4 linked regions of the Diceros bicornis minor genome follow. The protein of the gene in region 4 interacts with the protein of the main gene of each other region in a pairwise test. Links are inferred from orthologs where the notes say so. Each region holds a gene or a part of one and is shown on either strand. Other genes may lie near its edges.

The links.
Region 1: the proteins of SPRED1 (region 4) and HPCAL4 interact in binary tests that used the Homo sapiens proteins (3 or more experiments, as listed by UniProt). The link is inferred for Diceros bicornis minor from reciprocal best matches to the Homo sapiens genes SPRED1 and HPCAL4.
Region 2: the proteins of SPRED1 (region 4) and NCALD interact in binary tests that used the Homo sapiens proteins (3 or more experiments, as listed by UniProt). The link is inferred for Diceros bicornis minor from reciprocal best matches to the Homo sapiens genes SPRED1 and NCALD.
Region 3: the proteins of SPRED1 (region 4) and CREB5 interact in binary tests that used the Homo sapiens proteins (3 or more experiments, as listed by UniProt). The link is inferred for Diceros bicornis minor from reciprocal best matches to the Homo sapiens genes SPRED1 and CREB5.

The regions. Positions count from the first base shown.
Region 1 is NC_080752.1:53,347,372-53,353,884, forward strand, and holds HPCAL4 (hippocalcin-like protein 4), read right to left. Parts: upstream 2,564-6,513; 5' UTR 2,556-2,563; coding exon 2,394-2,555; intron 2,241-2,393; coding exon 2,025-2,240; intron 727-2,024; coding exon 529-726; 3' UTR 520-528; downstream 1-519. UniProt on the Homo sapiens protein: May be involved in the calcium-dependent regulation of rhodopsin phosphorylation.
Region 2 is NC_080760.1:20,465,350-20,473,167, forward strand, and holds the start of NCALD (neurocalcin-delta), read right to left. Parts: upstream 3,011-7,818; 5' UTR 2,972-3,010; intron 1-2,971. UniProt on the Homo sapiens protein: May be involved in the calcium-dependent regulation of rhodopsin phosphorylation. Binds three calcium ions.
Region 3 is NC_080742.1:53,088,123-53,095,353, forward strand, and holds the start of CREB5 (cyclic AMP-responsive element-binding protein 5), read left to right. Parts: upstream 1-4,223; 5' UTR 4,224-5,506; coding exon 5,507-5,509; intron 5,510-7,231. Other genes in the region: uncharacterized protein LOC131399887, read left to right, coding at 1,541-1,763, 1,933-1,986, 2,465-3,145. UniProt on the Homo sapiens protein: Binds to the cAMP response element and activates transcription.
Region 4 is NC_080744.1:36,357,340-36,364,818, reverse strand, and holds the start of SPRED1 (sprouty-related, EVH1 domain-containing protein 1), read right to left. Parts: upstream 3,013-7,479; 5' UTR 1,971-3,012; coding exon 1,939-1,970; intron 1-1,938. UniProt on the Homo sapiens protein: Tyrosine kinase substrate that inhibits growth-factor-mediated activation of MAP kinase. Negatively regulates hematopoiesis of bone marrow.

The sequences.
Region 1 (6,513 bases), on a different chromosome or scaffold from region 4:
GGTGCTCAATAAACGTTAGCTGAAGAAAGGACTGAATAAATGCTCCAAAGGCTGGGGCCAGAGGGGCCAGGTAGAGTCAAGGGAGCAGGGCAGAGACCACCTTTAAGGGATCTGGGTCCTCAGCAAAGAACAGACCCAATTTGGCCCTTTAACTGAGGTCTATAGGACCAATCCTATAAAGCATAACCCCAGGAAGAACAGAATTTCAAAGCAGAACCTCAGCCCCCCTCCTAAACCCTGCCTCTTGGGGCAAAAGCCAACTCCCCTATGCCCAGTGGGTCTTGGTTCTGGGCCAAGACTGGGGATGGGGCTAGACAACAGGATACCTGAGGATCTGTCTCTTTTCCAGGGTGAGGTGGTCCCTCAAGGACCTTGATTGAGGGGAGCAAGGGCTTGGGCAGAGGGTTGGGTGAGCCAGAGAGTGAGGCTGGAGTACCCCTCCCCCTGGGGAAGGGCCAGCTAGAGAGGTCATCAGGTTGGGAGGTGGCCACACCCCTCCTGGCCAGAGGCCCTGCCCCTCACCAGCCTCTACTTCTGCATGTCACACTGCAGCAGCAGCACAATGGATGGGTCACTCTTGGCCGCCTCCTTGAACTCCTCCAGCGTAATCTGGTCATCCTTATCCTGGTCCATTTTCTTGAAGATCTTGTCCACACGCTGCTGGGGTGTGAGCCCATCCTGGTTCATGCGCATCATGATCACGGTGCCCACCATCTTGTATATAGCCTGGTGGGGCAAGGAGGGAGGTGTGAACACTCACAGGGGGCAGGGAGGATCAGGGGTGAATGAAAGGGCCTGGGGGGGTGGGCAGGGAGAACACTGGGAGATGGTGAGGATACCGGAAGGTGATGTATGGTCATTAAGACTGGATATTTAATGAGCATCTCACATTAAACATATCTAAAACCCAACTCTTCACTTCCAACCTGCTCCTCCTCCAGCATTCCCTGTCTCAGTAAATAGCAAATTCATTCTTCTAGTTGTTCAGACCAAAAACCCTGATGCCATTCTTGACTCTCCTTCTCTCACATCACATCCAATCCTTCAGCAGATCTTGTCAGCCCTAATTTTGCAATAGGTCCCAACCACTTCCGACCACTTCCACAGCTCCTCCACGGTTGTCACCTCCATCGGCCCCTGACTGGACTGCTGTGGACCAGTCTCCTAACTGGTCTCCCTGCTTCTGCTGCCCTCCTAGCCCCTTGGTCTATTCTCCACACAGAGAATAGAGAGAGCCCTTAGTGGCTTCCCATCTCACTCAGAATAAAGTCCAAGTCTCAGACTATGAGATGCTAAATGACTGGGCTCCTGGCTACTTAGCTGATCACCTTCCTACCACTATCCCCTTCTCACTTCTCTCCTACCACCCTGGCCTTCTGGCTACTCCTTGAACACTGCAAACACAATGTAACCTCAGGGTCTTCACATTTATTGTTCCCTGTGCATAGAACACTCTTCCGCCAGACATCTACGTGGTTAGCTCCCTCACCTTACTCAGGGTGCTGCTCACATTTCACCTTATATAAAATCACTTTTCGTCCATCGCTTTCTCTCCCCTTACTTTGCTTATCTTCTTCATGATGCTTACTGCCTGACATATCATAGTTTTTTTGTTGTTGTTTTTAAATTTTCTCACTAGAAGAAATGTCCCATGAAAGCAGGAACTTTGAACAGTGCCTGGCATGTGGCAGGCACTCAGTACACATTTGCTGGAAGAGTAATGAGTTGAGAACTTAGGCTCTGGAGTCAGACTCCCTGGATTTGAATCACGAATCACCACTTGCTCTGTTTCCTCCTCTGTAAAATGGGGTTTCTGACAGTACCTACCTCCCATAGGGTTATTGGGTAAAGCATTTAGCACAAAGCCTGTTTCACACTGAGCGCCCAACCAATCCTAGGAGGCGGGATGGGGGGAGAAGTGGGGTGCAAGAGGAGGCTCCTGAGGAGCGTGCTGGAGAGTGGGCAGCGAAGACAAGGGCGCCGGCCCCAGCCCAACCTGGCCTCTTGGATCCGCCCCAGCGCACCTCGATGATCTCCAGCATCTCGAGGCGCGTGATGCGCCCGTCGCCGTCCAGGTCGTACATCTCAAAGGCCCAGTTGAGTTTCTGCTCGAAGCTGCCGCGGGAGGTGACCGAAAGGGCGCAGATGAACTCCCGGAAGTCGATGGTGCCATCGCCGTTCTTGTCGAAGGTGCGGAAAGCGTGCTGCGCAAACTTGGAGGCATCGCCGTAAGGGAAGAACTGAGGCGGGGACGGCAGGGTTGGGACGCAGCGGTAGCGGTGTCTTCCCGGCCCTCCCCCGCTAGTCCGGCCCGCCCCCTCGAGTTGCCTGGCCCCGCCCCCGCCCGTCCGGCCCGCCCCTGGGCTTGCCTGGCCCCGCCCCCGCCCGCCCACCTTGATGTAGAGCTGCTGGAACTCCTCCAGGTTGAGGATGCCGCTGGGGCAGTCCTTCAGGAAGCCCTTGTACCACTGCTTCAGCTCCTGTTCACTGAACTCCGTGTTCTGAACCAGGTCCTCCAGCACCTCTGGGGCCAGCTTGCTGTTGGTCTTCCCCATGGCGGGGCCTGGGGGACAGGGGGTTCCCTCAACTTGGTCTGGGGCAAGGCCCTCACCTCAGCAGCAGTCGCCCAAGTCCCTGAGGACAGAGTTCCCTTTCTCCACAACAGCTCCCTCCCATAACAAACCCCACATTCCCACAGCTGGGATCCCTCCTTCCACAGTAGGGTGGGTCCCCTTCCTCTCACCACCACACCCAAGGACATGTACCTTCCTACAGCTGGGCTCCATCCTCCCCAATACCCCTTCCCACAGGAGCTCCTACCTCCCCTCCCGGCCCCTCTCCCCTACACCTAAGTGGGGATCCCTTCCCCTGGTTACACTCCCCCATAACGGGGCCTGCTCTCTCCACAGCAGGGTCCCTTCCCCTCACAGCACCCTGCACCCACAGCAGGCCCCTTCCCTCCCCTCACAGCAGGCTTCCTCTCCTGGCACCTAGGATCTCTAGCCTTCCAGGTCTCAGCTCTCCTCCTCCTCAGTGGTCGGGGCTGCATGCTACAATCTTTATCCTCTCCTGTCCTGTTTACACCTTCCATAGCTCCCCTTGGCCACAGAATAGAGTCCTAATCTTTTCCTTACTCTTCAGAGCTTTCACACTCAGCCCCCACCCACCTCTGCAGGCTCCTCTCCTACCTGGGACCCAAGGCGGGTCCTCATTGTGGCCCCCTGGCAACGGGGACACATCTCCCAAGTTCTTCCTCAAGGCGTTCCAGGCCACCCCAGCAGGAAGGTTCTCTCCCTCCTTCCTCTGTACAAATAGAAATCCTAGCTGGTAGCATTGATGACTGATTACACTCTGCTTTTCGTTAGTTCATTCCCTGAGCATTTATTGAGGCTGACTGTGTGCTAGGCCATGTACCACTGATGGGGACAGAAGCTCCTAGGGTTTTAAAGCAAGGGGTAGGAAGATAGCGTTCATTCCACAAACACTTACAGAATGCTTACCGTATGTCAGGTCATGAACTAGGTACTGGGGACCCAGAGAGAAGGAATGCGTTTTAAAATTTTTCCTTTGGCTACTGTGTGCAAGATGACCTAGTGAGGGGAGGTAGGGAGAGCAGAGAGGGGCCTGCTGCATAGTTCAGGTGAGAGGTGATGACGCTAGCGTAGGGGTTGTGGAGAGATGGGGATGGACTGAGAGATGTTAGGAGGGGGCATTGGCAGGACTTGGTGACTGACTGGATGTGGGGATGAGAGGACAGAGGAGTTGAGGCAGACGCTAAGATTTGGGGCTGAATGGATGGAGGTGGTGTTGCTGAGAAGTAGGTTTGGGGAGGACGAAGGGTCAGTCCCCAGCTGGAACATGAGCCCCTCAAGTGGCCTGTGCCAGGGGAAGTGTTTGCAGAGGGAGGTGCTGGTCTTCCACAGGAAGCCTGGCTGGGATGATGCCCCATCAAGCGCTGAAGCCTGGGTGGACGCTCCTGTCTGACTTCCATGGGAGGAATGTCCCTCCAGAGCCTGAGTTTCCCAGGACATGGCCTGGGAGGTGACTCTGACCTGCCTAGAGTCTCTTTGGGAGGGGGCCAGACTCCAACCCCAGGGTAGCCTGTCATGAAGATACTCTGGAAAAGGAAGTCCTCAGGCTAGCAGAAAGAATTCCACTTCCACAGCCCACCCCAGGCCAGTGTGGCTTCTAATCCTTACTTCTGGGGGTGCCCTAAACAACCAGATGGGAGATTGGTCTGTTCCATGCCCCCTCTCTTGCTGTGTGACCTCAAGCTAGTTACAGGATATCTCTGGGCCTGAGATTTCTCTGCTTCTTCCCTAAGGAAAATCAAGGAGAAGTAGGGGTGGCAATATCCTCTTCTACCTACCACCGCCAGAGGATGAGGAATACCACCCCCAGAGGATGAGGAATCCTATATGCCCCCAGGAGAAGCCCAGGAAGGGAAGGCATGCCATCTTTAGGGACCTGGAACTGTGGGGTCCAGAATAGTTGCACTAGAGTCAGAGTCCAGGATGCCTCTAGAATACCCATGGACAGAAGGAGGCAGGCTCCATCTCCAGCTGCCCCTCCCCAAGTCCAAAGGACACTGAAGGCTCAGGGTATAGTCAAGAAAGCTAGAGAACCCATAGGTGGAGGTGTCTGACGGGGGAGGCAAAGTCTCTTCCGCTGTCTCCTGTGGGATGTGCCTGAGTGTCTGTGTAAGGAGCTGAGTGTGTGTGGGAGGAACCTGTCAATGTATGAGACTGCAGATCTGTCAGCGTGCACAGCCTGTGTGTGTGTGTCACGGTATCTGTGTGGCTCTCACCTTCTGCCCCTTTTCTCCTCCCTGCTCGGTGCTGCCTTCCCACAATTCCCTCTTTCCTGGGGCCATACCTCTTCCCAGCCCCATTTGGTCCCAGGCCCACCAAGGACTATGCCTCCCCCTTCATTTCTCCTCATTCCCTCTACTGTTCTTAGATTGGCAAGGCAAAGCTGGCAGTGTGCTTTAATATCATCTCCTTATTTCAGTGAAAACTGGAACCCAGAGAGAGGAGAAAACTGGCTCTGAGTTACACAGCAGGCCAGTGGAAGATCTAGATGAGCACCAGGCTGAATCCATGCCACCTGCCTGGACCACTCTCTCCAAATCATGGCTACTCTTGTCGAGTATAGACCTTCCCCACTCCCACCTGCCTTCCGGGAAAACCACGGCTCTGATCTCCCTCTTGGCTTTAGTGGGACTATCTTGCTTGAGCTCTAGGCCATAGTGTCTGACACCCAGGAAATAGCCACCCTTCTGTGCGACCCACCAGCACCTCTGACGCAGCACATCTACAACCAGATTCCCCCTCAACCTGTGGTGGTCCTTCTCTCTCCATCCCCCCTTCCTTCCCTCCCTCGTCCCAGGGGGAAAATGTGATCTTGGTTACCTTCAGTTTTCCCCTCTCCCTAGGTCCAACTTGCCACCAAGTCCCATTGTTCCTTCTTTTGAAGTGCTCCTGGAACCTTCAGTATGTCCTCTCTCTCCCCATAGTCAGAGCCAGGGGCAGAGCCGAGGTGGCTGAAATCCAGCTGGGACACTACTTGCCAAGCCATGCCTGTGGGGCTCAACGGCCTCACAGGGCTAGCCTTTCTTCTGTTTCCTCAGTTCCCAGGGAATGTCTTGCCTGGTTTTGCCCAGACATACAATAGAGGTTAGAGGTGGCCATGCCCATGGGCCCCCTCAAACTTCAGAATCCTCTAGAATCTGGTGTCACGGTGTCCACCTGTCTAGCCTTACCTCTCACTGCTCCCCTCACAACTACATACTCCTTCCAAGCTGGGCTTCTCACAGCCAGGACCTACCTCACCTATTTGCTTAGCTGTTTTCTCCACCCCTAATATCCTTTCTTCTCTCCTGGGCTGACGCAGCTCTAATCAGCCTTTGGGCCTAGCTGAAGCCATTTCCTTATGATCAGCCTCTCCCAGCCTGGACAGTGGACAGGCAGCAGCATGGGCTCAGCATTTTGCTCAGCACGAGTAGACCCTGTGAGGCCGTGGAGTTGAGCCCCACAAATGTGTAGTCCAGAGCTCTGTGATTCTCGCTTGGTGCTCTAGAGTTCCAGAATGGGGACTTTTGTGGGAGGTGCCTTTGCATTAAACCCTTGCCTGAGCCAGAAAAAGTTCTCCAGGCCTCTTTGCTCAATGGCAAAGAACTTATCCCCGCCCCCAATATGACCCAGTCTGCATCGGAGCAGCTCAGACAGTGAGAAAAGCGCTTTTCCTATTGTTCCTAAGTTTGCCCTCTTGTAGCTCCCCTACACGGGTTCCCACTCTGCCCTTTGTGGCTGCACAGACCTGCCCTGCAGAGACCTAACGGCCTTGCCTGGAACACAGTGATGTTCAATGAATGTCCCTTGGTGGATTACATGAGACAGGCAGAACCTCCTTCTTCCTCCTTGGAATAGCATCAGGCTGTTTTGTTTATCTGTGTTCTGCCATTGCACCCACTTCAGACAACGGAACCCAGACTTGGGGAAAGGAAGGGTTCAC
Region 2 (7,818 bases), on a different chromosome or scaffold from region 4:
TCTTTGTGTTTTGATTTGTTTTACTTACAACCCTTCAAAAATGTAAAAAGCATTTTTGATCTCTCAGCTGTACAAACCCCCTGCCCTAGAGCCTTGATATCAGACTCTGAGGCTGTCCTGGAGAAGCTGGCACCATTTTATCTACCTCTGCAGGGCTCCTGGGAGCCTCAGTCAGAAGTACACCCACAGAATACACTGAGCTGTGTGAAAAGTAACAGAGGAGCTTTGATGACGGGAGAGTTCCTATCTCATCGTACCAATCCCAGGGCAAGCTGAAATCCACACTCCAATCCAAGGAAGAGCTACAGAGCCCAGGCATGTGGCGACCTTCACCTCTGCCTCCAGAACCAAATTCACTGCACGACCCCTTATAGATTTGGACCTTCATGCCCCACAGTCAAATCTGAGATGTCCAACCTTTTTATGAGGGAAGTGAGGAAAGAGGTCAGACCACTGCCTTTCTCCACTGTTAGTCTAACCCCCTACAATTAAAAAAAAATCTCTGAAATGGTTCCAAGATAGTATGCCACATTTCTTTTGAGCAACCTTTGGTTTCTTACATTTCCCCAAGTTTGTTATTGTAGAATAGTCTATATAAAGATTGGTTTGGTCCTCCTCTCTATTATTCTCCATGTTGGTTTCTGACTTTAGTGAAAAGGACTGAACTTTGCTTGACTGATGTTCATTAATTCATTCAACAAACAATTACTGGTAATCACAATTCATCCCTCAAGGCACGTGCAGCAGGGAAGACTGATATGGAGATGACGATGCGGAGTGATGACAGAGTGTGCAGGGTGATGTACCAGCATGAAGCAAGGGCAGCTCAGTCAGCTCGGGAGGAGGGGGTGCCACGAGGTCTGCCGGCAGGCAGTGCTGCTGCAGCTGAGCGGGGAAGAAGGCATAGGAGCTGACCAGACAAGGAAGGGTGGGAAGATGACAGGTGCTGAGATTCGGTGGCTTGAGCGGAGGCTACACAGGCGGACGCTTGGGAGATGAGGCTGGCGAGGAGACAAGGGTCCGAACTCTATCCTGAAAGCCACAGGAAACCTCTGAGGGAAATTAGGCAGAAAGCCTGGCTTAGATTTTTGGTTGCAAAATGAGCGTTCTAGTTGTAGCTTGGAGAACAGACTGGAGCAAGAGTGTCCTAATGGGGACCAAAGAGCCCAGTGTGAGGCAATTGGAGCAATTCAGGCAAGAAGTGATGAGGTTGTGAACCAAATCAGCGACAGACAACAGGGGCTGAGAGAAGGAAGCACACAACAGCAACAGCAGAATAACAAGAGCTCACACGTCTGCAGCACTTACCAACGACAAAGCACTGTGGGAAGCGCTTTCTGTGTATTAATTCACTTAACCTTCGCAACAAGCCTGAGATAGGTTTGGTACCTATTATCAATCTCGTGCCACAGATCAGGAAACACAGAGAGGTTAAGTAAGGAGCCCAGGGTCTGGGAGCTATTCGTGTCCCGGCCAGAACTCAAATCCAGCAGTCTGGCGGCAGAGCCCTGCTCTCACAGCCCACTCTCCTGGCACGCTTATAGAGGGTGGGTATTCAGGACTGGGCCGAGTGGTTGAAATGGGGGAACACCAGGGCAACGTCCAGGGGTCTTGGCTTGGGTACGGGAACATTTGGGTTTCAGCTTCTTGAGCCTCCTCCTCTGAAGGAAGCCCCATCCCCAAGTCTGTACTTAGCCCCCAACCAGCCCCCCCCATAAACCCACACTCTCACCATCACACCCCTACCCCTTTCTCCTTTGCAGTCCTTGCATCCTGCATTTGACCCTAAAACACAGGCATCTCCCCATTGGAGTGAAAAACCTCACAAGCATTGCCAATTAGGTCTGAGAAACACCGACCGCTAAGGCTGCTTTTGGTAACACAGCTGCTTAGATCTGTTATTTTCAAATCAGTCAGAACTGGGAAAACTTTGAGCAAGCTTGGGTGGTTTCCTCCTCAGCAAATGAGACCTTGGCAACCCTCCTTCTGTGTTCCCACCCTTGTCGCCCTACGGAACAGAACGTGTACCATCATTTGGGGCCAGCGTTGAACAACAGAAGCGCACTCCGCTTGGCCTGCAGCCTCAGACAGACCCGCGGGAAGAAAATGGCCCTGGCCAGGAGACCTTCAGAGAGCCAAATGGCTTTCTTTCTTCGGACATGAAAGTTAAAGCAAGCATCTGCAGCAAGAAACTTGTGTATTTCCTGCAGACAGGGAGACCTCCTGCCCCTCCCGGGTTGATACAACCCACTTTGCACATCCTGCTTCTCTGGGAGCTAAAAATAAATCGGTATGCACTGAAAAACACTCAGACACATCTCCCCAGCACACCCCTTCCCGAGTCCCCCAGGGCAAGAGATACAAATCTTTCAGGTCCTGAGTCCAGAATGCAGCCCACTTCCTCCTCTGCGTTCTACTAGCGCCTTCCAGTCGCTCCCAAAGCCCCCTGCCCAGGCGCCCACCCCTCGCACACTCCTCCTGCAGCCCCTCAGGGCAGACTTGGCAGGCCCGGGAACCAGCGAGTGCCCTCGACCCCAATCCCCCACCTCACCCCTCACCCCTGGGAGGGATGCTACAGAGGTCCCGGGCCACCAGGCACACGAACGCCCCCTTCCGACCCAGCGCGCCCCCATCCTGTCTGCCCCGCGCGCCTCTGCGCGTCCCTCTACAAAGTTGCTCTCTCCTTTTCTGCCGCCCACTCTCAGGGTCTTTGGTTTTGTTTTCTTTTCCCTCAGAGGCATTGAGGGAAGGACAGGGGAATTGACAGGGTGAGCTGCACCCGGGAGCGGCTGCAAGGACGAGGTCCCCAGAACCGCGCGCTCCTCGCGCCCACCCCTGCGCCCGCCGCCCCGGGGCGCGCCGGTCCCCCCAGCAGCCGCTCCCGGCACCACCGCCCCCAGCACGCCCGCCCGGCTGCAACTCCGACTCCGCTCTGGCTCCGGAGAAACGGAGGGAAGGCGCTGCGACTCACCGCCTCGGCCGCTCCCGGCGTCTGTGTCGCCGCGGGTGAGGCGGCGGCAGCGGCGGCAGCAGCGCCTTCCCTCCGCCCGCCTCCCCCTGGACAGCACCGCCGCCTGCCGCGCCCCCCTCCCCAGCCTCGCTCGCCGCCTCTCCCCTCCGGCCGCCGACCCTCCTCCCCACTGCGGCCCCGCAGGCAGCCTCTCCCCGGTGGGCTGGACGGCCGGGGTGCAGGGGGGCAAGCTGAGGTGGGGGGGTTGCAGGTGCAGTGGATGCTTTGGGTGCAGCCCCCAGGCTTATCCCCATTGGGCCCCCTAATCCTAGCCCACCGCCCAGACTTCTAGCCAGTCTGCACTGGTACTTTCCAAGGGGTGCTGTTTTCCTCTCCGGTCGTGGGGAGGTCAGATTCAGCCTACAGCACCTTCTTCTAGGCTTCGATTAGGGGGAGCCTGGGGTCCCTACCATGCCGAAGTGAAGTTCCAGAGAGCCTTGGAAAGACATACCCACGAGGTGGGAGGGGGCTGCTCTTGCCTAACCCAGCGTTTTCTCTACCTAGAGCCTTCTGTGAATCGTCTAGGGATGGCTTAACAAAAAACTCTGTAGGAGGACATCTGAGGAGGGGACACACACACACCCTCTGCCTCCACTACAGAATGTCACCAAATTCTCCATCTCAGCTGGAGATGATGAGAAGCAAATGTCTTGTCAATTCATTCAACCAATATTTATCGAGTGGCTGCCAGCACGTGTTCCTGTCTTGCTGTGTTGGCCACTCAAGACCTTTCAAAAAGCCACTGTAACTTCTTGTGCTTGTCAAGCCCAGCGGCATTTCCAGAAACCACAGAATGTCTCAATAGCAACTCAAATTCATTGATTAAAAAACTTGCTGGTTAAAAATAATAAAAAGTCACCAAGTAAAGCTAAAAGGCACCATGACCTGTCCATGCTTGATATAGTGATTACAAAATCTTTTACTATGACTAGTTATAGAAATGACAGTTACAATTAGGTCCAAACAGCCATCGACTCTAATTTGAAAATCAAGTAAAAGGTTCACCTGACCGAAACTATCCTCTTAGTTCTGCCTTCAATTTCCACATCAATTACTCCTTCGGGCAAAGCATGAAAAACAAACGTTATGTGGAAGGCCATGAAACCATTTTTGGATACTAAAACTTTCTCTTGAATTGGATTAGTAGATTAGAGCAGTGGTTAGCCTCCCTGGATACAGTTTGGAATCACCTCGGGAATTGGGGTTTCGTTTTGTTTTTTAATACTAGGCCTATCCCCCCGCCTTTCCCCAAGATTCTGATTCAACTAGTCAGGGGTGCAGCCTTGCATGGGGATTTTGTACATTGGCCCAGGAGATCCTGACGTGCAGCCAGGGTTGAAAACCCAGGGATTGGTCAATCATCAAACAGGTCCAGAGGCAATGGGATGCTGAACAAGGAAGTTCTGATGCAGGGAAAGGTCTGAGCAGGTGTTGCAAACTCAAATGTCCCTAAGGGATTAAAAAGAAGTGACTAAAGCTGGGCAAACTGGGAAGGGCATCATGCCCTAAAAAGGGCAGTCTCATTTTTCCACATGGGAAATGAAGGTCCAGTGAGGCCATCAAGTGGGATTTTTTTCATTTTGTTTTGATTTTGTTTGTTTTTCCCCTAGAGAAGCCAAAAACCCACATTTAATGTGAACTCTTCTAATTTTAAAATGTTAGTAACTAATTTAAAAATATTTTAAATACTCTATAGGCTAAGAAAGAAGAGTTTGTAGGCCACAAGGGATCCCTAGCTTATCAGTTTGTAAACTGTGGTCAGGACAGTTTAGGGTTGGTCATTGCCTACAGACTCTGCAGGAAGAACCATGGGTGGAGGGCAGTAACAGGAAGGTGGCGGTGCTTGGGGTAGGGGTGTCTCTGTGAGAGAGTGATTTAAAAACCCACTTTATCTATTTTTTAATTTTGCTTTAATGATCGCTGCTTTTCAAAAAAAGCTTTATTGAGATATAATTCATATAGTATACAATTCACCCATTTTAAAGTACATATACAATTTAATGTTTTTAGTATATTCAGAGTTGTACAACTATCACCACAGTCAATTTTACAACTGATTTCACCCCAAAAAGAAATGTCATACCTATTAGCATTCATTCCTTTCCTTCTCCCAACCTCTAGCCCCTAGCAACCACTAATCTACATTCTATCTGTATAGATTTGCCTATTCTGGGCATTTCATGTAAATGAAGTCTTCATACAATCTGAAGTCTTTTGTGACTGGTTTCTTTCACTTAGCGTAATGTTTTCAAGGCTCATCCGTGTCATCAGCACTTCATTCCTTTTCATGAACAAACAACATCCCATGGTATGGATATATCATATTTTGTTTGTCCATTTATCAGTTGATGGACATTTTGGTTGTTTCCACTTTGGGGCTCTTATGAATTGTGCTGCTATGAACATTCGCGTATAGGTTTTTGTGTGGATGTATGTTTTTATTTCTCTTGGATGTATATCTAGGAGTGCAATTGCTGGGTCACATGGTAACTCTGCTTAACATTTTGAGGAAATGCCTGACTGTTTTCCAAAGCAGCTGCACCCTTTTACTTCTCACCAGCAGTGTATGGGGGTTACAATTTGTCCACATCCTTGCCAACACTTGTTATTTGCTATTTTTTAAGTTATATCATCCTAGTGGAGGTGAAGTGGTATTTCATTGTGGTTTTGATTTGCCTTTTCCTAATGGCTAATGATGTTGATCATCTTTTCATGTGCTTATCTCCTTTGGAGAAATGTCTCCTCAGATCTTTTACCCATTTTATAACTGGATTGTCTTTTTATTATTCAGGTGTAAGAGATCTTTATATATTCTAGATGTAAGTCCCTTATCAGATATATAATTTGCCAATATTTCCTCCCATTCTATGGGCTGTCTTTTCATTTTCTTGGTGGTGTCCTTCGAAGCCCATCTAATCTTAACCAAAAGCCCACGAGAAGGTACTACTATTAGCCCACCACTAAATGAGAATTTTGAAAAGGTTAACAACTTGCCTAAGGCTACACAGCTCTGACGATGCTGGATTGGAGTCCAGAATATGTTCATTAGGCACAATAATGGCCCCTCAAAGATAGCCACGTCCTAATCCCCAGGACCTATGAATATGTTACCCTACATGTCAAAGGGGAATTAAGGAAACAGATGGAATTAAGATTGCTGATCCATTGGCCTTAAATAGGGAGATTATCCTAAATTATCCTGGTGGGCCAACTCAATCACAAGGGTCCTTAAAAGTAGAAGGTGGGCAGAAGAAGAGGCAGAAGGAGATATGAGCTACAGAAAACAGTCAGAGAGAGATGCAGCATTGCTGGTCTGAAGATGGAGGAAGGGATCCCAGGGTCAAGAGACGTGGGTGGCTTCTAGCAGCGGGAAAAGGCAAGGAAACAGATTCTCCCCTAGAGCCTCCAGAGAGGAAAACAGCAGAGCCAACACCTTGATTTCAGCTCCTTGAGACCCATCCCAGACTTCTGAACTCCAGAACTGTAGGATAACAAATTTGTGTTGTCTTAAGCCACCACATTTGTGGTAATTTGTTACAGCACCCAGAGGAAACTAATACATAGGGCCAGGTTTTTCTCATTTGAGAGTGCAGGGCCCCATCTCCAGAACTCTCCTCCTGAGTTTTAACTTAGAAGAACATAAGCCAATATTTTTGCATGTATAGCTTGGACTATTTCGCCCTGAATTCCTTACCTTATTCTTATCCACTGTGAAAGGCAACACCAGCCTTCCAACCCTCATGCATCTCCCAGAGACCCTCCTTGTACTTTCTCCCTATGCCCTTGGCATTTCTCAGCTCATCTTCGATTCATCTGAAAACTAGAAGGATTTATTGTATACTGATTTTCTCCTAGAACATTACCCAAAATGTCCATAAGCACAGAGCCATGATCAGAGGGGAGTAATATTTTCATCATCATCATGTCTACTTCTACCAGCCAGGCTACCACTACTGCACCCATCACACCCGGTCCTGCAACTTTTGTAGAACGTGGAGGAAAGCTCAAGTAACCAGTAGCCTTGATAGGAGGCAGAGGTTTGCTGCATTCAGTTAGGCCTCAAAACATCCTTGGTTTGGGCCAAGGCAAGGCATTCTAAAGAAAGAAGAAAATAGCTTTCCTTCCTGCATGTTCAGGCAACTGCCTTGTCTGCAATTCCGTAAGAATGAGTGAAGAAAAAAAACTAGCTCAGGATAGAGGAGACCATGTTTGCTAGCCCCCTGTTGGCTACAGAGCTGCCAACACCACAAGAGCAAGTAAAGAGGAGGCTCTCTCCTGCCTGCTTACCCAGGCCCCAGCAGCTGATCATTTCTTCAGCTTTGTAGTTCATCTTGCAGCCTGTAACACATTCTCTAGGTCTCTTGTCAAGTGGCAACCAGAATGAAGTGCAGTTCGCTAGGAAGATCCTTCTAACAGGCAGGCAGCCGAAGGTGACAGGCACCAACCTTGAGGTCATTAGTGGTGTGCTGGAGTCATGAGAACTGATGGTTAAGTAGTCAGGAATTTTGTGAGCCATGGAAGTATTTACACAACAGAAATAGACAAATGCTACAAATGAGGATTTCTGCCCTCCGCACTCCTGCCCCCACAGCTGGCTTATCAGGATAGCACTGGGTCACACTAGCTGTATGTGTTTTAAGATATTGTGTCTATTTACTTGCTTTTGAAAGCCAGCACCACAAATGAGACTGCCATTCAGCTTACAGGCCAAGAAGACAGAAAAGAAAGGACAGTCAACCACCAAGAAAAATATAGCTTTCAAGCCTAAGTACTGGCTCTTCAACAATTCCTTAAATCCCCAAGACAGC
Region 3 (7,231 bases), on a different chromosome or scaffold from region 4:
GGAGGTAGACACCTGCTTTAGGTGGGAAAGGCTGCCCTGGTCCTCGAGTGGGAATGTGGGCAAGGAGGCCCGTTGCTTCCTTCCATAAACCTAGGTAATTGACCTGTCATATTTAAAGTTTTATTGGGTAAGATTCAAGTTAGGACTGGAGCCCTTCTTTTGCAGTTCCTTCAGGGCTACATGTGGAAAAGAACAAATAGAAAACTCAGTGATAAGTTCTGAATAAGGCTGTGAGAAATGAACAGTTGTCAGCCCCTGTGGTCTCAAGGAAGACTTAAGGAAAGGGAGTTGTTTAAACACCTAAAAACAGAAAGGAAATACAAAGCTCTTCCATTTAGTATGTCAAAACCAGCTCAGAAGTATGTGACAGTCCAGAAGCATTACAGTTTCTAGCCAGTCCAGTCATGCTTCTCTGGCAAACTGCACAGTCATGGTTATGATGCATTGGGAGGAGAGGTGCTATATAAATGTCAGATGTTACATAAATGTCAGCAATGATTATTGTTTGTCAATGGGGGCTAAACTGTTCCTAAGCAAAGCTCCAACTCCCAGCCAACATGTCCTTAGCAGAGGTTCTAACCACCAATAACCCATGAGAAGGGAATGCTCACCCTTGGTTCTAGAAAGCGGCCCAGTTGGGATTTGGGATTTGAAAACAGGGGTTGGGGTGGTGCCAGTGCCACCACTTGCTCCAGTGACTTCAGGCCAGCCCCCTAACATTCTGGAGTCTGCCTTAGCTCACCTGTAAAATGGGGATCATTATAACTTGCGCCCTACTTCTCCTTGTTGTGCTGGGTTGTGAGAATTAAGGGAGTTCGCATGGGTGCGAGTGCTTTGTAAAGTGTGAGCTGCTGCAAGGATGACAGTGCTCGTCTAGGTTCGGCTGGAATTTAGCCCATGCCTTCCCTTTGAATCCTACTCATAGGGAGAACATCTGAATGGAAATTAGCTTAAGCTGGGGATGGTGATGGTGGCTGGCCAAGATGCTGAAAAAGCCAGGTTCCTTCTCTCACGGAGCTGTCAGGAAGATACTGCAGACCAGGCGCCCGGATCCTGAATTCTGGCTCTGGCTCTGCCACTTGCCAGCCTGTGAGCTTGGGCGAGTTACAGACTAGGCTCTGGAAGTGATCGCCAAGGGCCCTTCCGGCTCTGACGCGGACTCTAAATCCGGCTCACCACTTGGCTCTAGCTGTGATTCACCTTGCGCCTCCAGGAGCAACTCTCCCTCCAGCTTCTCAGACGCACGGAGCAGGGGTCTTGGAAAGGGTGGGGGCCGTGTATTCCATGTGAGTGTGCACAGTAAAGAAGTCATGCCTTTGGAGGTGAAGTTATGCCTTTGGGGTGGGGGCCGGTGAAAAGGGGTGTCGAGTGAGTGCTCTGAGAAGCCAGGATGCAGGGAACACTGTAATGAGGTCACGGCTGTCGCAGGCAAAAAGGAGCTGGACATCTGCTGGTGGGGGAAGGGGGGAGCGTCCTGCATTTGTTTGCAGAAAGTGTCTTCCCGCACCCTTCAGCATCCCCCTCCCCACCTCTTCCCTAGCACTCATCCCCACACCTTTCACACGCTGCCAGGCCCTGTTCACAGGAAAGCCCGTGTCCGTGCCTCCTCTGTGGTCCTGTCTGAAACCATGAGGATTGTTTCCAAGCTGACTCACACCACTAATGTCAGGGAGCCGTGTCACACGGCGCTGGGCTCTGCAAGCTGTTGCTTGCGCGATCCCAGCCGCCGCCGCCGCTCGCCGGCGGTGCACCGGGGTCCGCTTGTGGGGCGGGGCCGGGGCGGGGCCCGCCCCCTCGGCGCGCCGGCCCCGCCCCTCCCTCCTTCCCTCCCCCGCGGACCGCAATGATTTAGAAGTTCAGGAATCCCACGTGACGTCACCGGGGGGGTGATGTAATGCACTCTAAATAGAATGTATTGTAATCTTTGCTCAGTCCAACGTGGTCCCTTCACCCGGGCTCCGCTGTTGCCTTCTCCACACTTGTTTGGTAAGTTCCTAAAAATACGGCTCGGCCACTTCTGGGGCTTTTGCATTTAGCCACTTTTGTTGCACTTGCCGCGGGAGCCATCTCGGGAGCGTACTTGTTTGCAGGGGTTGGTTGTCGGCAGCAGTCGCGAGGTTACTTGGTCCAGTGGGCAGGTCACAGGGCAAGGAGTAGGGAAGATGCGATACATTTTTTTTTGGAGGGTGATCTGTGTTTGTAAACACTTGGCGGACCAGAGGGAAGTCCGGCCCCCAATGCTGGTGGACTGTGGAATTCTGCTGTGTCCTGAGGCCACCCCAGAGACCCCACGCCGTGTCTGTCCCGGAGCGCGTCTCGGTGGCCGCCGCGCCGTGCGACTGGAAGGATGCTAACGTGGAGCGAGCGCCGTGTCCGCCCCGGCGTCCGTGCGTGTGTGGGAGCGCGCGTGTGTTTCCCTGACACGGGGAACAGTTATGAATCGGGGGGGTGTGTTTGCCTCCAGAGACCTGGCAAGGTGCGGAACCCTCCAGAAGTGCGGTCAAGCGGCGGCAGTGGCGGCGGCAGCGCAGACGGCGAGCCAAGAACCTCCCCTCGCGTCCCCAACTTCCCGGTGATGCGGCGGAACCCCGGAGAAAGTTCGCAAACTTGCAGCCGGCGCGGCGAAGACGCCGGGTCACCTAGGGGGCGGGCGAGCGGGCGCGCGGGGGGCTCGCTCCCTGCCGGGTGTCGAGCCTGCTGCTGCCACCTCTCCCGCAGGGCTGCCCGCCGCAGCTGGTGGGCGCGCGCGCCCGGGAAGGGGACGTCGCCCTTGAACGGCACTTGGCTTTCGCTCCAGGCGCGGAAGGCTCGAAAGTGGCGAGGCTCTACTCGCGTTCACTCCTCCAGCCGCCTCCTGCCTCCGTCCGGTTCTCGCTGGCATCATTACCTCTTCCCCGCCGCTGCCTCAAATGACAGCTCTCGCTTTTGCCGCGGCGGCGCGGTGGCAGTTTCCAGGAGCCGGCGGCTGGAGCCTTCCTCTCTGGCAGGTTCTCCACGGAACCGCTTAAACTTTTCGCGAAGTTCTCAGAGCGGCAAGACGTGCGAAGGAACCAAGGAGATGTTTTTTCTCGGCATCTGCATCCCGCTTCTTCTTTGCCATAGATTTATTTCCGGGGGCGGGAAGGGGGGTGTATCTGGTAGATAAAGCCCCAGACCTTGCCCACCTCCTCCCCAACTTTTCTTGAACGGGTACTGCACTCACTTGATGCTTGTTCAAGGCCAGGCACTGGAGTGGGTGCTTGTATGTTTCGTTGTCGGAGTCCGCAGAGTGTGCTTGATTTTTATTTTTCCCTCCCTCTCTGACATGTGTCAAGGAATAAAGGCTGGATACAGGTCCATTACGTCATTCTGCAGGCCAGTAAGTGTTTGATTAACAGCTTCAGATACTCAAGGGTTCGGGGGCTTAGAAATGCTGACAAAGCAACTCTGCTTTCCATCCCCAGCCCCCAACATACTCGTACAATTGCCTGTTCCCTGGGCATCTTTATTGCCCTCTCCTCCCGGACCCCTCCTTCTCCACTCCCTCTCCCGCCCGCACCGTTATCACTCTGGCCCCGCCTTCCCCTTTTACTGCTTTCCCTGGGGCGATCACTGTCCCTGGAGTGTGGGTAAGAGCTTCTGGCGTCTGAGGGGAGCACAGTACCTGATCAGCGCACACACAATCTGCCCTGTTCTATTATTTAAGGAAGGCACCAGCAAGCCCTCTTCTCTAGGGCGAAAATGCTCAGCCCTGATAGAAAAGGCATCTTAGGAAATGTTTAGAGACGTTATGATGATACTGTGTCCCTGTGGTGACTTAGGAAAACGACACACCCACTGCAAACAAAGTGCTTAATTCTATAGAGCGCCTTCCTCCAACCGTTTAGCCGAGGAGGGAAGACGAAGGGAGGATGCTGACTAAATCAAATTTAGCTGAAAGGATCAAGATTAAACGTTTCATTTCCAAAGTGAGGGAATGTGAGTGTTTGAACTCAAAGTACCATACAATAAATTGGTGCGTGTGTTACTTTCTTTCTCTTAACCTTAAGTTTCTGTATTTAAAGAGGATGTTAAATACATAAGTCACTGAATTGAGTCAGAATCTGCGTATCTGGCAGTTGAAATAACAACACTGTGTAACATATTTAAGGGATAAAAATAAAAAGAAATCTTAGTAGTGGGGGTGAGTGTGCAGCAGAAATCAAATAAAAAATTTACTAACAGGGTTTTGGATGGAGGGGGGTCAGAAGATTTGGGTGCTTTCTGATTTGGAGTTAGTGAAAGCTAAATAAAGGAAAATTTATGTTCTGAGTATGTGGGAATTTCTTGATGAACACATGTCTTGTTATAATCAGATCTACTTTCTTCAAAATGAAAGCTGTGCTGTAGAGTAGGCATTTGTGAAACTCCTGCCTGGGGTCTAATTGACCTCCTTCCCCAAGTTTGTGGCAGTATTTACTATTTACTAACATCTAGAGGTGAAATACTATAACCCCACACAATCCATGTGCATCTAAAATGTGAAACATCTTGTTTGTGATGCACAGACCTAGAGGAAAAAATGGCCCGGGTCCCCGGCACTGGAGAGTGTGATTAATGATCAGTGATTTAGTGATCAGTGATTAGTGGTTTTATTCAAACTGTTACCTCTGACCAGAAGCACACATCAGAGGATTAACAGGCTCTTTAGATAAATGCTCATTAGTGGAAGGGGAAAAGCAAAGATAATAGGCATGCACCCAGGGACAACTTTCGAAGAAAATCATTCCCGTCTTCAGAATAATAAGCTCTATTAAGAGAAAGCCCTTTTAATTTAAAACTTGCTTTTATCTTGTAAATCAAAGTTAGATGTAAAAGTTTGTAGTGCCATTATAACCTAAATTTTCCCATATCCACTAGATGTGGATTATCTCAGTAGCGATATTTTTTTTTTATTTAAATAAACAATTGGACCTTTAGAGCAGCTGAACCCTGACAAGTTCTTAACTCCCAGGGTTTGAAGGTGTCCCCCCTTCTAGAATGGAGAGTGCAACTTGCTAACTAGATGGCGCACTGTTATTTGGTGTGCTGTGCTGTGTGGTGCAGGAGTCTGACGGAGCAAGTAGCTGCTTGCGAGGTGTTCTTCAACACTTACAACAAAGTTGATTCTGTGTAGGGTTGGAGGCTAGACGGTTCTACAAGTTTTTAGTCACATTTTCCATGTCAGTTAAATCTAGGGTGTTCAAGGCTACTGGAAAAATTAGTCTCATTACTAAAAGAAACTTAGGGAGCGAGGGAGGAAAGGAGGGACAGGAGTCTAAGAGGTACCTTTGGGTTGCAGAAGTGATTGTAAAATACCAGATCTGTTCTTTTTTTTACTAAGAGCTAGTTTCATAAGCTTGTGGTCTGAAATCCTGAGGCAAATACTCAAAGATTTATTTTCTTCCTCATCTTGCTGGTGAAAAAGGAGTTACTAGAAAGAAAGGAAGAAAAAACTTGATTTGGTGACTGCAGGAAGCAACACGTTGCTGATTTTTTTCTACAGATAATGGTAAGATGATGTTTACTACTCTTATTAAGCAGAAAGGGAACTTTACAACTGGTTAAATGAGACCAATCTTGTATTTTCATAGATGCGATTTGGAAATGGAATTCTTATTTTGCACTGAATCTTAATGTTGCTTTTGTCAGTTTCCTGGGATTTGGTAGCATTTTGTGTGGAAGGTTGTCTGTGTGTGTGTGTGAATAAGACCATTATTTCCCTGGTAAAATAAGGTTCATGAGCATGTGAACGGCAGTGGGGGAGCTACGAAGCATGTTAAATAATGTGTCAGGTAAGAATTCCTTTTTCTACGAGCTTTCATGAATCACTTCAATAAGTACTTAAGTTTTAGTAAGGAAGGCATTCTTAAAAAGAAACCTAAAAATTAAAAATCAAACAAAAAAACCCCATTCTCCACTTCCAAACCTAGATGTGTATTCCCCCGAGGAAGGATGTTATTGAATCAATATCAGCTATTACTTGAGTTTTAAAACTTAGAAAGAAAACAATGGATGAACTTACTTGTGCCTCCCTATAAATTTTTTCATTTTCCTTTGCTTGTAGCGTTTTATATAGATCCATTATTTTTAAATCCCGACTGATTCATAGCAATTTTTATTTTTCAACTTTACTTAAACATATTTGCTCAATTCAAGCCAACTGTTTTTAATGTAAATTGCTGATATCTTAAATTGCCTGTCAATTGGAAGTCAGTTGTGACCTTATATAGTTTATACATGAGCAGATGGTTTATTAGAACATTCCCACAAAAATGTGGAAACAATGCCTTTATTTCTATCTCTGTAATGTTGCAGCTTTTATTTGAATAGGTGGCTAAAGGAATGGTAGCTTGTCAGACTTTTCCTGTATAGCTTTTCAAATATAGTAAGTTGAAGATTTTTGTTACAACTATTTGTCAGTTTCCCACACCTGTAGATTCAAAACGAATCAATCATGGACTTTCCATGACTCTTTGTGCTAATATCAAGTTCCTGGTCTCCTGATTTCTTACCATAATTTGCTTTTTAGTGACAATGCATCACCATCCTATTGTATTTCCTTCGCATTGGAGTTTGCTGCTTATTAAGCTGAAAATTATTTTGTGGGAGTGTGATGTTTGCTGGATCCCAAAGATGTGAACTTTGTATTTGTGGTTGGTTTTCTTCCGTTTGTGTTGTTAGATTAAAATTGAGGATGTGTGTGGACTTATTATTTTTGTCATCGTTTCTTTTTTCTTCTTCTTCTTCACTTCAAAGCAATGCTGTTAGTCACAAAATTAATGTGATCATGGCTGGTGTTTCCCATCTATATGCTTCTTTTGCTTCTTACAAATTGGATTTCTACAGCAATTTAAGATCTTTTTTTAGAGGCAGATTTCTTGGATGAAGATGGAACAATGATCTCAGTCAATTCATTATCTTGTCCAGTTTGACTACCAGCTGTATTATGGGAATCAACCAATGCTTTTATAAATTAGTGTTTAAAAATTTAAATCTAGGACTATTTCTCTGAATCCTACTTAAGAAAATTATACAACTGAGATAAGATAATAAACTAAGGGGAGGGGGGAAATAGTCTTAAATATTTAAGTGTGAGAAAGAAGCACTTTCGGGTATGCTAAGCAGACTTGAAGAACCTTTTTGTGTTGCTATTTGTAAACTAAATAAGCTATCTATTTTGTGGCATTGCTTTAAATAGAAACTCTGGCACTTTAAAAATGACATCATGTTT
Region 4 (7,479 bases):
ACACCAAAAACTTGCACTCTCAATTTGTCCATGCCAAGTACTACAAAAAGACCCCATTTAGAAACAATATATTTTACACCTGTCAATTCACATTCCCTCATTTGCTTTTCTATTAGCTGCATCCAAAAAGGAGGTATTCAATATTTTACTTTAAATATGGTAACGAATCTTTTCCCATCTCTACAACAGAACTTGACATTTTGATCCAGGCTACTTTCTTTAAAGATACCAGGAAAAACTATCGTCATTCCGTTCAGGATTTTTAGCAGTTTTTCTCCTAACTCAGCGTTATCTGAGATACTTCTTGATCTCTCTCAAAGTAGGTCTAATCTGCGGAAGGCAATGAGACAGTGTACTGCACTGTGAATGGACAGCCAGGTATTTTATGAATGGAGGCAATCACGTGATCCCAGCACCTCCCCGAACTGATATTTCCCACATAACTGTGTCAACATTCTGAGAACAGGGGTAGTTGTTTGTGTGTGCGTATGTTTTTGAATTTAACCTACAACTTCGAATTCTCCTTACTTCCTGAACTCAAAAATCTACATGAAGACAGAGTCAAGCTTCGAATTTTTTTCTTGGGAAATTCTTTCAAGATGTCCAAGGTGATGGATGTTTAATTATTTTTTTATGAATGAAGAGTGTGCTATGCAAATGAGGGCGATTCACAAAAAGAGAGAGAACATGGCGGCCACTTCTGCTTCTAGACTGCACTGACACTGCAGCAATCTACCTTCTCCCACACCCGCTCATGAGAAGAGTGTGTTGGGGGGCGTGGGGGGCGGGCAAGAGAAACGCTACTTGGCATTTCTCAAGCTATTTTATGTTAAATAGGCCTAGGCTTTGGATTTTCAAGTTTTCTCTAAACGGCCAGACTTGAGGAATGCACTTTATTTAAAGGAATGCATCCTAGGACTAGTCCTAACTCACTTAACTCTTTCCAACCCTACCAAGATAAACAAAACTTGAACTTAATTACAAGAAAAAGGATGCTAATATTCTGCACGGAATTAAATCCCATCTCAATAGAAAACTGTTACCGCATCATTATTCCCCCAAGCAGCTGTTACGTTAAAGCAAAACATTTAAAAGGCAAAGTATTTCGTTTGAAAAACATAAGGACAGCCCAAATAAACAAAAGCTTAAACCGGGATGCTCTAGAAGTTAATGAATGAAGTCATCAACTTGTTCAGCAATGTAAATACTGTTATACCAACGTAAATGGTGTGTTTCAATATAGCTGAAGGATAAACATTAGCATTCAAAATTCTTCTATGCTCCTGATAGAGACACGTCCAGTATTCGCGAAGGTAAAATATAATAGTTCGCCATCTCCCACACTCCAGGTGTCTTCAATGCCATTAAATTCTAAAAATGTTTCCCTAGCCCCATTTTTTACAAGAATCTTACAGGTCCTAAGTATAAAAAAGGGGGGAAGGGGTGGAGGCTTAATCGGTATTTAAGAGTCACTGACTCATCGAATTAAGATTCAAGAGCAGTTTGCTGCAGAAGGTGCTCCCACACATTAGTTTCCAAGTGAAATAGCTATAAAGGAAGCAGGACGGATATTCAGGATATGTTGATTGGTATGCTAAGGAGAAAAAGGACAGGCCAGGGGTCTTCCAGGCAAAGGGGTAATTTCCACCCCGCCTCCATCCATCCACACTGCTCCATCTCCTGGACAGACAATTGCCATGCCACCCCAACACTCAACGCCCTCCCCCAGAAGAAAGCAATTAAACGCGGGGGGTGGGGGGTGGGTTTGCTGCCATTAAATAAAATGGCTCAAGAAATGAAATGTTATCTTCACAACAAGATGCACCGAACTCTCCAGGGCTGCAAGCTTTCCGGCACCCAAGTCTCCAGGGGTCTGGGGGAGTGCTGAGGAAAGAAGCGGGGCGGGGGGCTAGCAATCAGGATCAATGAGGCGCTTACTCGTTGTCAGAAGTCGCCGTCTCCTCGCTCATCTTTCCCTCACCGTGATCCGATCTGGAGATGGAGGAGCAACAGCAGACGGAGGAGCAGCAGCAGCACCGGGGGGCAGGAGGCAGTGGCGGCCGGGGGGGCGCGGGGGCAGCGGCTCAGGGGCCTCACCATGGTGGATGCCTCACCCGGAACGGTGCCCCCCCAGCCGGGAACCCCGGCCACCCCCGCAGGGGGGTGGCGGCAACAACCTCCGCCGTGGCGACCCCAGCCTTTTCCCCCGCCTCAGCGCCCAGCCAAGGGATCCGAGGAGGCGAGGAGGGTGGGTGGAAAGCAAAAAAGGCCGGGGGGCTGCGAGGCTGACTGGAGAGCGGCTCCTCCGGCCACTGGGGTGGAGCGCGGCGGGGTCCGGCCAGGAAGGAGCGGGCGGGCGGGCGGAGAACCCGGGAGCAGAGGCGGCGCTTCCCTCAGGGATGCGGCGAGGAGGAAGCAGAGCTCCGCTCGGTGGGGGCCGGCGGGGGGGTGCCGAGCCCAGGCTCCGGGCGGCGGCGGCGCGGTCCTGCCGGAGCCCACCCCACCATCTCCCGCCTCGCCGCCGGCTGCCCGCTCAGCCCCCGGCGGCGACCGGGGCGGTCCTCAGGAACGAGCCGAACCGGCGAGGGGCCTCACGGCGGCGGATTCCTCCAGACACGCTCCAGCCCGGACGAGTCCAGAGCAGGGAGGAGGGGGCGGCGGGGAGCGGGAGGCAGGGGCAGGCGAGCCGACCGCCCCCACCCGGGCCGGAGGAGAGCGGGCGCGCCCGCGGCGCAGGGTGCCGAGAAGCGGCGGGAGAGCGGGCAGAGCGGCCGCAGGACCCCTCCAGCCGTGCCCACCAGCACGGAGCTCGGCGGGCCAGCTCCTCACGCCCGCCAGAGGGGAGCCGCGAGGGGGGCGGCGGAAGCGCTCACGCCGCCCGCTCCTTCCGCCGCCGCCGCCGCTGCCCGAACCGGGGGCGCCCGCGGGAGAAGGCGGCGAAGTAGTCCCTGGCAACTTCTCCCGGACGCCGGCTTCCCCCGGGGCCAGAGCGGGCACGGGGTGGGGTTGCTGAGCGGGGTGCCCGCGCTGTGAGGGCGCGTGGGTAGGAGAACTAAAAGCTGCGGCCTCCGGGCGAATCACTGCAACTCGAAGTCGTGTGCAGCATAGCAAGTTTCAGGAAAGTAGTTCCCTCCTCCCTTCATTTCCCAAATCGTTGTCGAGCCACCGAGCGGGGAGAGGAGGAGGGAGGCGGAGGGATACGCCAGCACCGTGCTCGGTGTGCGTGCGCGCGCTCCAAACTCTTGGCACGCTGCGAAAGGGGGCGGGGGTGTGAGCTGCACGGGGAGCTGCTTGGGAGCTTGCATTGTTGCGGCGCGTTACTCCCCGTTACTCGTTTTAGAATATCCGGGTTGTTTGGACGAAGAGGCTAGAATGACAGTGTGCTCAAGGAGAAAATTGGAGGCTACACTGTTCTGCCGCGCGCGCGCGCGCGTGTGTCTGTGTGTATGTGTGTTTTCCTTGCAGAGCAAAGAATGGAACTGGCATGAGTTCATCTTTAGTTGGTGGGGGTTAGAGGGAGGGACTGTACAAAGAGAGCTCCGCCTGCTGTCCCTCTGGTTGCATTGCTGCAGTCCCCCAGCTGCAGGCACAGCGGGAGTGCGTGTTGGGGTGTGTATGTGTGTGTGTGTGTGTTAGAGAGAGACAGAGTTTTAATACCTTGGATTCTTACTGCACCAGGGGTATGCGGTGCAGGGCATTCATCTCTGAAAGCTAGAGTGGTTGTTAATGGAGAACGACTTCCATTGAAGCCCGGGGTAGGCGTGTTACATGAATCTGGCGCAGCCAGAAGCACAGGAAATAACTCCCGCTGCGAGTGAGGTTGCATAACTATAGCGCAGAAGATGCCTCTGTGGCACGAACTGCTCTAAACGGAGGCGGAACGATTACTGAATAGGCAGCTGTCACGTTTGCATTGTTAGAGGACAACGTATGCATTCATCTCAAAAGGTTTTTGCACAGAAACCTGCTGGGGTTGCGGGCCGGAGTCTGGGGTCTGCCCGACCGGAGGACTCAGCTCCTGGCTCTGTAAATTCTATTATCTTTTCTCTACCTAGAAAGCCAGCCTATACATGATCGGGCCTGGGGGACTGAATCCCAAGTTTCTGACGCATCTCCCTAGGTATCAGTCTAGCTCTGTGCGCAATGCTTTTCTCTTCATTCTCAGGTTTGTGCGTCCTGAGAATGAAGATTGCTGCTCCTGCCACCTTGAGGGATAGAACATTTCCTGAGGAAGAAGAAAGTGCGAGAACCTCTCAAACAAGCCAGCACTCCCCTTCTGCCGTCCGTCTCCTGGAAGTTTCAGGATTGTTCTCGGGAGCGCATACACTAGCACGTTAACAGTGTTTTGCACAAAGGAGGTGCTTAATAAATGTTTGATGAATAAATAAAGGAGCTAAACCAGTCAGTCTGCCCCAAAAACCATCCCGTTGATTTCTGAGGTTTCTTGATTTAACTCTTGCTTCGTGTCTTGCCAGCAGCATTGTCCATACCCAAAGGGAAGAAGGGGCAAAGTTGGTGACAGGAAGAGGTGAGGGGATCTGCAATAGACAGAGGTTACCTCTGTTACCTCTGAACCTGCATTTTTGGTCTTGTTCCTGTGAAGAACCTATAACTGGGAGTGTTGGTACTGGCCTGCTCTCCTTCCATTACTACTGCTAATCACTCTGGCTGCTCAGATTTCAGTCAAGTCCCGTCAGTCATAATTTGTGTGTTCTAGACAAATTACTTAAACTCTGTGCCTTTGTAAAATGGGGATAATAGTACCTAATTCATAAAGCTGATGTGCTGGTTAATGAGGTAATAATATACATGAAGCACTTAGAACAGATTAAGAGCTCAATAAGTCCTAGCTCTTACGATGATTTTGTAAAATGGAGATAGTCAGAAACGCCGCGACAGGGTGGTGGCAGTTGCTCTGAAGGTTTAAATGTAAAGCATTCAGTAGCCTTGTTCATTCAGTCAACAAATAACTAGTGGTTTTCTCCCGTGTACCACTCGTGCTAGACACATGGCCCAGCCCTCAGTAAGTCATTAACAAATGGTCATTCTTAGAGTCATTATGATTAAGTAAGGACAAGGAAAGTTGGGTCACTTGCAAAGGCCTCCTTTTCTTTTGAAAATATTTGCATCAGTTTGAGATTCACATGCATCAGGGAAATGACCCGTTACAGGCTTTGGGAGAAAAGATGAAAACCACCTTGGCTGTCATGTGGAAGACACTGTGCTGGTCACTTTCGCACACATTGCTTACCTAAAGGGGCAAGATATGATCAATACCCCGAATTAATGCTTTTTAGATTGTTCCCAATCCCATGACCCGGACACAGTCACCAAACCATTCCCCATGCCGTTCTCAGGACACCTGTGTGCCCTTCTTAAGGTGCATCTGTAGCTCTCTCATCTCATCCAGTTGTTGAAGATCTTACCAAGTTTGTAAAAAACTGTCTTGGTCTGGCCTGAGCACTGAGTCTTCTACTCTGAAAACATCAGAAATGGTCCTACGATGAGAATCAGAGCCCAGGGGGCTTCTAGTCTGACTTTCTATCAGCAACTGCCCTAAACACAAGAGGCCTCCCCTGGTCTATTCCAGTGTTTGGACCTTAAGAGGTACAAGAGACATAGCAGCCTAATGCAATGTGTGAGATCTTATTTGGATCCTGATTTGAACAAATATTTTAAAATTTGAGATAATTGGGGAAACAAAAACTAATTAGATGTTGATGATAATAAGGAATTTTTTTTAAGTATTGGTGTTGTAGTTGTGTTTTTTAAAGTCCTTATCTTTCAGAAATACATACTGAAATATTTTCTTCAAAATAATCCAGTGGAGTGAGGAGTGGGGGGATGTGGGTAGGGATATAGATGAAACAAGATTGGTTGTGGATTGGTGATAAGCACATTCTCTTTACTATTGTATCTATTTGAAATTTTCCATAATAAAAAGGTTTTTTTAAGTACACGGCAAGTACCCCTTTAATGCAGATTCCTAGGCCCCAGTCCAGAGATTGTGATCAGCAGATCTGTATTGTGCTGACAAACCTACTTTTCCAGAAGTATGCCAGGTACTGAGTCCTTCTAGGCCTTCATAGCCTTCTCCTCCTTTCCTTGCAACCGCTTGTGTCATCCCATCCCCAAACACATCCCTAACTGAAACCTCTGCTCCAGAAGAACATGGAAAAGGGTGGCCCAAGGTATATCATAGGCTAAGGTAGATACTGGTCAAGGCCAGAGGGCTGGTTCAGCTAGGGAAGGTGGATCCAATAAGACTTGAAAAGCTATGTGAGAAGGTACATATAGTTCACAGTTTTACTTTAAGTTTCAACTCCATTCAATTGGTATAGCTACCAATGAGCAGTAGTTGAGAAGGATTCCGTGGCCATGTCAGGGGTCAGGAGGGCAGGAGACACTTGTATTTGCTCGGTTGCGTTTCCTCAGGTAGGTCTGTGAGAAGGAGGCTGGTCACCATAGCTGGTGCTCGCAAGTGGCTCTCAGTACTATTGTCCTCAGCTTTAGGAATGAGCCACAGCCACTTAACAACCTGTTGTAAATGATTAATTATCGAAAGCATCCCTGGGCCAACAGCACAACCGCCAAGTAATAGCCAATATAGGACATCGTCAAAGTTAAGATGGTACCAGTGGGTTCTGGGTTCCAGGTAGGTGTCAGATCAGGGTTCACCAGGACAGCAAAGGTGGCCTGTCCTCGTGGAGGCACTGGCAGATGGCATGTAGCGCTCCAATTCAAGGCTTTCTCCCTCTTTCCAGACCACTCAGTCTGTTGTGACTGTCTTTCTTAGGAACTCAGAATTTGTCTTCTCAAATTCTTTTTGCCTTTATTGTTTTATGCTTATATTGATAATTCTCTCTCTCTCTCTCTTTTTTTTTTTTTTTGCTAATCCACTTTTTATGAGTTTATGTTTATTTTCCCAGTTAAATTTTAAGTGGCGTGAAGGCAGAGGCTGCGTTTCATTTTTTGGTGTTCTCGTCACAGTGGTTTTAAACACTTTTAAGTGAAATGTTTGCTAAGGCCTTGTGTATGTATAAAAATGAAGCTGGATGGACTGACACTGTGATGGAAGTTTGGAGGCCCCTCTGGCTTCCTATTGCAACTGGAAAACTACTGCAGTTCAGCATTTCACATACACCATCCCTTGTACTATTATGCTCTCAGCAGATATCTATATACTTGAAAAGCCCAAAGAGGAGACAGCCATGCCAACATTTGAGGTTCTAACAGTATGTAAAATACATGTACACATTTCCATTTCTAGACTTACTCTTATCATTACCCCTTAGCAGATGTTATTACAATTTTGTATTTTGAAACTGTAGTTAATATGTGCCTAGATCAAAGGGGACTCTATTTTCATGCTGTACTTTGTTTAATGAATGAGCTTTCTTTTTTTTTTTTTTTTTTTTTTTTTAGTGTAACCAGTCTCTTGGCTAATGAGCTCTGCCTCTCAGGGAATTACTAAATGGT